Linked DNA regions of Elephas maximus indicus. The protein of the gene in region 2 interacts with the protein of the main gene of each other region in a pairwise test. Links are inferred from orthologs where the notes say so. Each region holds a gene or a part of one and is shown on either strand. Other genes may lie near its edges.

Region 1 (3,747 bases), on a different chromosome or scaffold from region 2:
CTCAATAGCAAAAAATGCTATAAAAATACATGCCAGGACAGAGCACAGGAGTCAACTGGAAACTCCCAGTGGCCAAAGCTGGAATAACTTCAGCAACAAAATAAATGACATAGTATTAGATGATAAACCAAAGTATCAAATAAATATTCATGAGTCCGTATTGATACAAATAAATGACTGAATAAATTAATAAATGGGAGAGGAAAGGTAGCTTTCTCCTGCAGCATCTAAGTGATTTATGTAGATACTCTGCTCTCAGGAGGGGCAGCATAATTCCCCACTGTTTAGGTGTGGTGTGAGCTTCACATAATAACTTCCTTCTTACAGTATGGAAGGGGGGGGGTGGGGAAACACTTCTTCTGCCAGGTGTTCAAGGTTAACATCAGCATGAGAAGTGATGTTGATAATGTTCACCTTTGATATGATGTGGTGAGAAGGGTACTCTTACCAGTAACCCATAACCCCAGTCTTACCATGAGAAAAACATCAGGCAAATTCTAATAGTGGGGCATCCTACAATATACCTGACCAACAGGAAAACTAAACCAAACCTGTCACCATTGAGTCAAGTTTGACTCTTGGCGATCCCCTATGTATCAGTGTAGAACTGCCCCACAGGGTTTTCTTGGCTTTAATCTTTATGGAAACAGATCGCCAGGCCTTCCTTCTGTGGCCCTGCCAGGTGGATTTGAACCACCAACCTTTTGGTTAGTAACCAAACCCGCTGCCCTTGAGCCGATTCTGGCTCAAGCACAAACCATTTGTGCCACCCTCAAAACTGTCAAGATCATCAAAAACAAATAGAATCTGAAAAACTGCCACAGCTAAGAGGGGTGTAAGGAGACGTGACAACTAAATTTAATGTGGATCATGAATGGGATCATGAAACTGACAAAGGATATTTGATAAAAAGTAAGGAAGTGTGAATAAACTACAAACCCGCTGCCGTCCAGTCGATTCCTACTTATAGAGACCCTATAGGACAGAGTAGAACAGCTCCATAACATTTCCAAGGAGTGCCTGGTGGATCTGAACTGCCGACCTTTGGGTTAGCAGCCTTAGCTCTTAACCACTACACCACCAGGGTTTCCAAGTAAACTACACACATCAGTTAATAATGCTGCATCAATATTGGTTCATTAATTGCAACAAATGTACCACACTAATGTAAGATGTTAAAAACAGGAGAAACTGGGTATGGGAAAATTGTGGGATAATATCTGGGAACTCTGTACTATCTTCTCAATTTTCCTGATACTCTAAAAAGTAAAGTCTATTTTTCAAAAACGATCCCCTTAGACTAGGAAGGAAAAAAAAAATGGAACTAGGGATTATGATCTTAATTAACAGCCATGAGGCTTAGGCACGGTGCCTGACACTGATATTTGCTGCATGGGCGACACTCTCCCCTCTTTTGATGCACACACTAATTGCTGCGGTGTCAAAATCTGGAGTGTAGTGGGAACTTGGGGAAGTGCTTACCTCCCATGTGCCCTACATAGGAAAATTTACACACTCGGAATCGACTCGATGGCGGGTGGGTTTGGTTTTTTTTTTTTTTTTTTGGTCTTAAAGCCAAACACAGAGAAAATCAGCGGGAGTGCTCACGGGCTGGAGAAGGAATGAATGCACAGCTCCAGGCAGATCTGGCCAAACCGGTTTATTCTGACTGAAAAAAAAAAAAAAAAAAAAATGCAAAGACACCACGACTTCAGAGTTAGAGGAGCCCGGTTGGCCGTCTATCTCTCAGGCTCCAAGCAACCAGACCGTCATCCCGGCCCCGCTTACTTCTGGCTCCAGAGACAGCACGGATCGGAGCCTGAGTTGGACATGGAAAGACAAGGGAGACCCAAGAGGAAGTGGCGAACTGAGGGTAATAGAGGGAAAAGCAGTAGGAGGGATTAGGCTTGGAGGGTGCGCGCGGCGGACTCCACCCACCTCCGAGCTTGCCCGGCAGCCCGGCCCGGTCCTGCCCCCGAGGCCCGGCGTCCGCGTCCGGTCGCCCCAAACTCCGGGGCGCGTGTCTGAGACTGTTGTGTTGTTGCATTTCTCATCGGAAGCCCCCTACTTACCGGTCCGGGGCTTCGGGCCACGAACGCGGGTCTAAGATCGCTTCTCTCCAGCGGCAGTGTGTTCCGGGACCGGGTGCTCTGCCAGCAGCCAGGGCAACAGCGCCTCCCCGCCCCGCAATCTCCGGCCTCTCCAGGGCACCCGGGCGAGATTTCTCCCGGGCCTGCCCCAGGATTGGTCCCTGCCGAGCCGCGCCAACCAATCGGAACCTGAATTTCCTCTACGTCACGATCACCGGTCGTATACCCGGGATTGTGAGGGGTGTGGGGCAGCGGTGGCCAAAAAATGAAACTGAAATTCGCCGAGACGTGGCTGAGCAAAAACCGCCGCCAGAGTTCGGCGTGTGTTTCGGGCTCCCTTGTTACAGGCGAAAGGGACCCGAGTTCTGAGGCCTAGTGGGCCCGATGAATCCCCGGTGGAGGACTCTAGGGTGCAAGAATCTCCCCCTTCTCCTGAGACCCTCGCCTTCCGATTCCGGCCTGGGGCTGAATGAGTGCGAAGTGGCGCTCGCCGGGTGCTGAACATGAGATCCGACTCTTGGCCCCCAACGCCGCATAAACTGGCCTCCCGGACCAGGCAGGAGCACAGCAAGCGAATTTCCTCAGGGGGCTGTTTATAAAAATTAACTACCATTTATGGAGCGCCTACGCTGAGTAACGCGCTTTTTTTTTTTTTTTTTATATCCTTAAATAAAGCAGGCATTGTCATCCCCACTCGACAGAAGCGAAAACTGAGGTTCCGAGAGCTTGGGAGTAGACCTGTTTCCGCGCTGAATTCTGAAACTACAGAGCCGGACTCGGGTTCCCAGAGTCCTCCATGGGGAAATTTTCACCAGGTTCGGCGCGTCCCAGCCGCCCTCGGCCCCGGAAACAGACCACGCGCAATCGTCCCTGCTGCCCAGTCTGCGCCTGCTTCCTGCTTTGTCTGCTGCCGCGGCACACAGTTCCGTTGCTGGGCCACCAGGTGCTGCTGGTTCCCAGGCACCACGGCATAAAAATCCGTCAGTCTCCACTGCGCGCAGCTACGAGCTGGGTGGGAAGGTTCTCGGGGTCAGCCAGTGCCCTGCCCTAAAGGTTGGACTGGAGAGGGGTGGGGCACAGGTCGCGATTTTGGTTCCTAATCCGTCCCTTGGCGCTCCCCCCCGCCCCGCCCCGCAGCCTGGGCTTGGGTGAGAAGAGGGTTGCAGCTATGTATGGGGAAGGTGTTCATGATGGGGTGAGCTCAGGGCCGTAAATCCTATTACTTGCCTGGCTTGTCCCTCCCCTGTGGGGCTGGCGAAATTTGTAGGAATTACTCTGGGTTTAAGGAGTTAAGTCCCTGGGTGGTGCAACCAGTTAAGGCGCTTGGCTGCTAACTGAAAGGTTGTAGGTTCAAGTCCACCCAAAGGTGCCTTGGAAGAAAGACCTGATCTATTTACAAAAAATAAGCAGTTGAAACCCCTGTATAGCCCAGTACTACTCTGACACACGTGCAGTCACTATCTTAGGCCGGGCTCTCTAGAGAATCAAAACTGGTGAAGGTATCTGTATTGTCTACCTATAAAACCAAAACACCAAACCCTTTGCAGTTGAGTAGATTTATCTCAAGTAAATGGCTTACTCGGTTACATTTCTTGTCCTTGTTATATATATCTTAGAGTATAACCCTTTAAGTGACAAAAATGATCACACTTATTGC
Region 2 (3,747 bases):
AGCTGACTCCAAGGTTTCTGGCCTGAACTGCATGGATAATTTACAGGTAATGAGAATACCTAGGCAGAACGAATTTACATAAGAAGTAAAAGATTGAGGAAGTTATGGCATTTGATTCAAGAATCAGAGTGTTCAGAGTGCAAGGAGGGCAGAGGATTGAAACCCCAACATTTAAGAAGAGCAGAAAAAGAATGTACGAGCCATTAAATTAATCAGTTGCCCCCTATCCAGGCTTTAACCTACATAGAGGAGAGGGGCGGGTACGGGAACAGTAAAATCAGGGCTGAGAATCTGCATGTCTAATAAGCTTCCAGTTGATGCTAATGGTGCTGGTTAGCAACCAATTGTGAGAACCACCAGTTGAGCAGTAGTTCTCAAACTTTATTATGTAAGAATCACCTAAGGATCTCATTAAAATGTAGATTGATTCAGAATACCTGGGGTGAAATGGGTGGGTGGGGGTGTAAATGCAACTTCACAGCAGGGGTCTGAACCGGAACCAACGGGTTCAAAGCCCTGGGTAAAACCACTCTCCACGTGGAAATCGCTGCTGCCAGTGGCGATTTCCAAGGCAGCGCCTGGGAACCCTGCAGCAAAAGCCAGCCGCGGGAAACGGAGCCGCTTCCAGAGAAGTCCAGAAAGAGGATCCGGCTGGTACGTGGGGGCTGTGCGTGTGGCTTCTTTCATCGCTAAGAATCTGTCACATGGACTCTCACAGATCCTTGAGATGCCTGTACAGACAGGTAATAGGATACAGATTAGGGGTCAGAAAAGGGGTCCACAAAATCGTAAAATCGTCTGTGGCGTACCTTTTAAGAAAATGGGCTCAATTAAGACTTTGCTCCCCAGCCTCCTTTAGGCCACCAGACCCAACAAGCTGTACTGGTCCCACACTCCAAGCCGCCCCAGGAAAGCTCCGGATAAGTAAGTCTACGGAAACTCCACGACCGACAGGAGCTCGGCCCACGGCTCACCTTCGCCCAGCCCCTTCCCCGCCCCCAACGGCTCCCTTCCTCCCGGCAGGGATCTCGGAGGCCCCGCCCACTTCCGCAACGCAGAGCTCGCTGCGCGAGACGCCAAGCCTCAGCCAATGGCCTGCTCCGCAGGAAACGTTACCTCTGACCTCGGGGGCTAATCAGAGGCAGTGGGACGAACTCCTCGCGATAAGTGAAGTTGAAGCTGCCTCCGCCATCTTGGAGATGGGAGACGGGCGATGGCTGTGGTCTTTCTGCTAATGCAAACAACAAAACGGGCACATTAGTCACACCCGAGTGAGGCTATCATCACTTTATCTGTTAACCAAAGCTACAGAAGAAGCGAGAGTGTCAAAATCGACCGCGGGGATATTGATAGCTTCACCTGCCTGCGGTGGCGGCAGAAGTGAAGTGACTGAGTACCGGAAGGATGGTGCAGTCCTGTTCCGCCTACGGTTGCAAGAACAGATACGATAAGGATAAGCCCGTTTCTTTCCACAAGTAAGTACGCTGCGCTCCTCACGGGACATACCCCAGGTCGGGCTAGGGGCGCGCGGCCGTTTAGGTTCGGGGGCGGAGCCCGGCGCGTGCCCGCGCGAGGGGTAATGAGGCGGGCGGGGAGCGGTGGGCGTGTCCGGACAGGGAAGTGTTGGGGAAGCGCCGCTCCGAGGCCGGCGCTTTTCGGTTCCGGGCTGGGCGGTCTCACCGCGCGTCGCCATAGCGACCGTTTCTCGCGCTCTTAAAATCCGCGGAGAAGGCAAGAAGCGCTTGTGGCTTCGGGTTGGCGAGTTCGAGGCCGGCTCATAGCGACAGGGGAACTGCCCCATAGAGTTTCCAAGGAGTGGCTGGTGGATTAGAACTGCCGACCCTTTGGTTAGCAGCCATGGCTGTTAACCACTGCGCTACTGGGGCTCCACAAAAAACAAAATAGAAGTTACTGTTTTTGGTCCTTCAGAAACTACTGGGAACGGGAGGCCAGAATCACAACAATTGAGGATTAATTTTTGACTGGAGTTTTAGGGAAGATTTTTTAAAAATTGTACATATGTATGTAATAAGTCGCTTGCTATTTCAGCATGCTTTACAATTTCAACATGCATGTACTGTTTCAACATGTATGTACAACTCAATTACACTAGTTACGTTTATTATGTTCAACTATTACCATTATGCATTTCCAAATGTCCCATCACCTTTAACAAAAGTTTAGTATCTGAGGGAGGATTTTTTTGGCTCAACATCTGGGAACCAGCCTTCACTCCTGTCTGAGTCATCTAGTGCTGTTATAACAGAAATACCACAAGTGGATGGTCTTAACAAAGAGAAATACATTTCCTCACAGTAAAGTAGGCTAAAAGTCCATATTCAGAGTGTCAGCTCCAGGGTGGGTCTTTCTCCCTCTGTCGGCTCTGGAGGAAGGTCCTTGTCCTCAGTCTACCCCTGGTCTAGATGCTTCTCAGGTGCAGGGACCCCGGTTCCAAAGGACGTACTCAGCTCCTGGTGCTGCTTTTTTGGTGGTATGAGGTCCCCCTGTCTCTCTGCTTGCTTCTCTCTTTTATATCTCAAGAGATTGCCTCAAGACATAACCCAAACTGGTAGGTTGAGTCCTGCTTGGCTAACACAACTGCCGCCCATCCTCCCTCATTAATATAGAGGCAGGATTTACAGCATACAGGAAAATCACACAATACTGGGAATCATGGCCCAGCCCAACTGAAAACACACATTTTTGGGGGGACATAATTCAGTCCATGACAAGTCTAAAGTTTTAGAGAACACTTGTGGCACTGCTGAGATGAATAATTATCTTTACAGCACACAGTAATCGTAAAAATGGACAACAATAATAACCTAGACTGCAATAAAGTACCATAAAGTCAGTGTGATCTCTATGGGAGCATAGAGAAAGCCTTCACAGAGGAACGCACCGCACAGCTGAAATTCAGGACTATTTCACCCAGTAGGTGCCACAGTTATAGTACTACGGAGGAAAGTAGGAAAAGAAAACTGCAAAACTGAAATGAGGTAGTGTTAATTAAATGGCTAAAAAATGTGACAACAGTTTCATTCAGCCAAGATTAGTATTTACAGATTTTATTATGTTTGCATTATATATTTTTTTGCAAGAATTCCTGAATATATAGGGATGATACCTAAGAAAGTAGAGCCAATAGTAAACTATACGCATTGTTGAGTCAAATAATTACAAAAGCAAATATTTAAGCATGCCTTCAATTTAGGGAGAGGGGGCTGTTTATGTTTAATGGAGGACTGGATGGATTTTTCTGTGTTTGATATAACATGGGTTGGACCCTACAGAAATAGGAGTACCTAGAGCATAGTGTTGCTATGAATCAGAATTGACTCCATGGCAGTGGATTTGGTTTAGTTTTAGAGCATAAAAAGATCTTGAGAGTGTTAATATTTTCCCATGAAGAAGGGAATAGAACACTTCCAGAATTCAGTTCAGTAGATTTGATCAAGATCAAATCTCTTGATTTATTGGAATCTCTGAACCCTGATGAAATTGACCTCCAGTACTTTAAAATTATAGGAAGGGCCAGGAGATAGTGACAAGATGTCATGCATTCTGCCCCCACCTTCCTAATGATATGGCAGAGGGAATCTATACCCATTGCTGTCGAGTCAATGCCAACTCATAGTGACCCTATAGGACAGAGTGGAACTACCCCATAGGGTTTCCAAAGAGCGGCTGGTGGGTTTGAACTGCTGACCTTTTGGTTAGCAGCCATAGCTCTTAATCACTGCACCA
Region 3 (3,747 bases), on a different chromosome or scaffold from region 2:
CCCCTTCTTCAGGGCACCCCCCCTCTGCAGAGACAGAACAGGCAGGAGGTCTCAGACCGGTGGGGAGAGGAGAGGCGTGGGAGAGTCTGTGGATGGGGGAGTTCCCACAGAAAGGGCCAGTTCAGTAGGGGTAACAGGGAGGTACCTTTACCTTGGTGGCAATGGCAAAGACACACTGGCGGCAGACCCAGGGAGATGGACCCTCTCCCTCTCCAGGGGCTGGCGCCCTCGGAACGTGGCAGTCCTGGTGATAAGCTGAATAATGATAATGTTGACAATAGACCACTTATTATAGTGCAGACCTGTGTTAGGCACCTGGATAGGATTAGTCTTATCCATTTCAATCTTTGTCTGTGGTCCTGCTGGAGGGGAGGGGTAGTTATTATCCTTATTTTACAGGTGAGGGAACTGAGGCTCCTAGAGGTTAAGGGACTTGTCCAAGGTCATATGACTGTAGAAGAGAGTGTACTTAAACCACCTTCTACCTGCAAAGTCCACACCATCCCCCATTCCATGGCTGCCTCTCCCTGGGTTGGAACAGGGGAAGGTTACAGGGTTGAGGAGACTGGTCAGAGTAGTGACCCGGGGACTGAAGTGACCTGGGGACTCAGACTGGACAGGTAGCATAAGGATGGGTATAGGAGAAAGGGCGAAAGGCAGCCTGGAAGGCTCATGGCAAGCTGGACCAGCCTTCTCACCATGGCGACACTTCTCACAGCTGACCAGCCTGTTCCCAGGGACCACAGTCTCAGAGCGACAAACACAGCAGAGGAGTTCCTCCCCAGGGAGGGCAGCTGTGAGGGAACACAGTGTCAGGGGGCCAGCCTAAGCCTCCTCCTGCCCACCCACCCAAACCAGGTTTCTGTTTCCATGGGATGCACACTCTCAGGCCTCTAAGGTCTCACCAGGGCTAATGTCTTTCCATAAAACCAGAAACTGGGAATCATCCTCAAATTGGACCAGACACACTTCCCGAGCACTGTCCACCTGGAAAGGTGAGCACAGAGGATAAAATGGGAGCCAGAAAATATAAGGGGAATGGAAAGAAGGTGACAGCTCAGAGATCAAAACTCTTACCTTCTTGATGGTCCCCAAGTATAGCAGCCCATCAGTCCATCTGGCCAACACATCTTGACCCTCCCAGAGTCGAGGTCTGGTGCCTGAGGTGGGAGCAGGGGAAGCTGGGTCCCAAAGCGAGGAGGCACCAGAGCGGCTCAGCCGGGGGGGCTGCGCCATTGCATCCTGGGGGGGGGGCTAGCCAGGAATAGGACAGGAGAAGGTTATGAATGCTGAGAATCCTTACCCATTTTTGCCTATTTTTCTGTCCTGAGTTCAAGCAGCTTCGCCCTCAAGTTTAAATCCCTGAGACACCTGGGGCACCAGCTTCCTGACTCCAGCCCTCTCAACTCTGGTGCCTTGCTCTCCTCTCCCTAACACCTCTCCTCACTCCACAACCTCATTCACTAGTTGCCCAGTTTTTAGAGCTCCCCTGGGATATTATACCCTGGCCTTAAAATTTTAGGGGAAACGATGGTCGCAGACGCAAAGATTATTCAGTTACTGTCACCTTCCCCATGCTGTTTAGAGGTGTCATAATTGGGGTGCTCTGTTGTCCAGAAATGTTTTTGGGGAGCTTTCCTCGAGATGTTTTTCAGAGCTTCTCAGAAACGGTTGCCTCCCCAGGCCCTCGTGTCTCATTCAGAACAATCACTCTGGTGCCGGGTTATGTCAGGTCACTCTCAAATTCGGGGCTCCCTGCCCCCGGGTTAGATAACTTCCCTGAGTGCCCCCAGAGGGGGCGTGTCCCATCCCGGTCTCTACTCCCCACGACCGGCGAGTCCGAGAGAGGACTTGAGTCGGCCTGGCCAACCCGATACCCAGGCGGTGTGGGCTCTCCCGCCCGCGCCCTGCGCGCCGACCCCCGGCTCCCTGCCCCCCACCGGCGCCTCTCGCCGCCTCTTTACCGGTGACAGCTGGGGCCGCCGGGAGCCGGGCAGGAGCAGCCGTGGGAGATCAAGGCGAGCCCCTCGCGCGGGGAGGGCACGTCCGGGCGTCGGAGGGCGTGCAGGCAAAGGCCGGGGGGTCCCCAGGCCCAGCCCCTCCGTCCCGGCAGCTCTGGGGCGTATGACGCAGCAGCCAAAGCAGCGGCAGCGGCAGGAGGAGGCGGCGGGGGGAAGGAGGGGAGGGACGGACCGACTAGGGGGAGGGTGGTGGGAGGGGAGGGCCGGGGGGAAGGAGGAGCCGGGGGGGCGGGCACCACCTCACCCCACCTCCCTCACCTCTAGCAAGCCTGGAGGGCGCTGAACGCATGGCGACCCCTTCGCAGCTGGGTCGGGCGGACAGTCGGACCCGGAGGGAGAGGGAATCCCCACAGCCCCTTCCTCTGACGGGAGACCCGCCCTCGGGGCAGGAGGGAATCCCCCCTCCCGGCAGTCTGCCTCGGGTCTGGCGCCAGGCCCCATGCCACATCCATTAACTGTCCCCCCCCCGGACATGGTCACTCAAAGTCCCGCCCCTCTGACCCTAGTCATGGCCCCGCCCACCACTCACCCTTCCCCTTGCCCTCGCCACGCCCTCCCCCTTGAGTGCCCCGCCCTCCTCTCGCCGTAGCCCTCGGCCCCGCCCTCTCCAAGGCAAGTTGTCCCCCCCCCGCCGCGCTTCTGCGCACGCGTGGCCCCTCCCGCGTGCGGCACCTGGGAAGACTGAGCCCCTCCTTTACGGGGCGGTGGCCGTTGGCTGTTGGCGCGAGGGATTCGGCGGGCGCGCGCTCCCGCTTCCCCTGTATGTCCCGCCCCGGGCTTTGAGGGCTAGTGCAAGGACGAGGAGAGATAATACCAGTGACGTCACGGAGAGTCAGCCAATGAACGGGCACAGGGCAGAACCCTGGCGATTCGAACAGGAAGGCAGGGAAAGGGCGGGAAGAGCCAGCAGTTTGCCCAGTGCACGCCTAGTCCCCGCCCCTCGATTCCTGTTCCCACATCCACCAAAGGAGTTTTTCTCCCAGGGGTTGGGGTAGCTGATGGTGTGGGTGAAACGGTGGGGGTGACCATGACGGGGCTGTGGGGTAGCTAGTAGGCGCACCTCCTTGATATTTATGATGGGGGAGGGGACGTTAGGTGAGAGAGAGATGGGCCAGACCAGGGTACAGAACCACAAAGAACTGAAGGTCCCCTTCAGACTCCAGCGGGAGACCTGTCCGAGAGAAAAACTGCAGCCCTCACCCCACAAGACACACACACTTGGCAGAGTGGACAGATCCACAGTTCCCATCCTTAGATGTATGAAAAATAGCTCCCTCCTTGGGTATCTGCTAATAAAACCTTTATTTTTTTTTTAAAAAAATTCTTTATTTGATAGGCCCAGGTACAACAGCCTTCCTCACCCCTCCCCTCCCATAAAGCATCCCTCAGCAACCCTCTCCCTCAAAACACACATGGGCACAAAACTTGGGCACACATGGACAGACACACACACCCACAGGATCTGGGTCCATTTTCATTTCCTGTTGGCCTGGGCAGTACCAATAACACACTGGTTCACCTGTGGGCAGATGGACAGGATAAAACAATTTGTGGAGTAACAAAAAGAACAATTTTCTTGAGACCTCCTTACATCCCCTAATGCTATGGCTGCCTTCAGTGAATACTGAAATAGGGGTTCTGGATGTAAGCTTAGGCTTGTTCTAGTTCTAGTAAGTTCTCTGATGCCCACTAGGCACACCAACTGGTGGAGAGAACATAAGTCTCC

What was found.
Region 1: the proteins of THAP1 (region 2) and tripartite motif-containing protein 26 interact in binary tests that used the Homo sapiens proteins (3 or more experiments, as listed by UniProt). The two-hybrid records come from large-scale screens. The link is inferred for Elephas maximus indicus from reciprocal best matches to the Homo sapiens genes THAP1 and TRIM26.
Region 3: the proteins of THAP1 (region 2) and PHF1 interact in binary tests that used the Homo sapiens proteins (3 or more experiments, as listed by UniProt). The two-hybrid records come from large-scale screens. The link is inferred for Elephas maximus indicus from reciprocal best matches to the Homo sapiens genes THAP1 and PHF1.

The regions. Positions count from the first base shown.
Region 1 is NC_064819.1:89,895,830-89,899,576, forward strand, and holds the start of tripartite motif-containing protein 26, read right to left. Parts: upstream 2,695-3,747; 5' UTR 2,073-2,694; intron 1-2,072.
Region 2 is NC_064840.1:57,592,930-57,596,676, forward strand, and holds the start of THAP1 (THAP domain-containing protein 1), read left to right. Parts: upstream 1-1,157; 5' UTR 1,158-1,404; coding exon 1,405-1,475; intron 1,476-3,747. UniProt on the Homo sapiens protein: DNA-binding transcription regulator that regulates endothelial cell proliferation and G1/S cell-cycle progression.
Region 3 is NC_064819.1:96,234,881-96,238,627, reverse strand, and holds the start of PHF1 (PHD finger protein 1), read right to left. Parts: upstream 2,486-3,747; 5' UTR 1,965-2,485; intron 1,255-1,964; 5' UTR 1,237-1,254; coding exon 1,078-1,236; intron 988-1,077; coding exon 906-987; intron 795-905; coding exon 699-794; intron 256-698; coding exon 152-255; intron 25-151; coding exon 1-24. Other genes in the region: kinesin-like protein KIFC1, read right to left, coding at 3,496-3,540. UniProt on the Homo sapiens protein: Polycomb group (PcG) that specifically binds histone H3 trimethylated at 'Lys-36' (H3K36me3) and recruits the PRC2 complex. Involved in DNA damage response and is recruited at double-strand breaks (DSBs).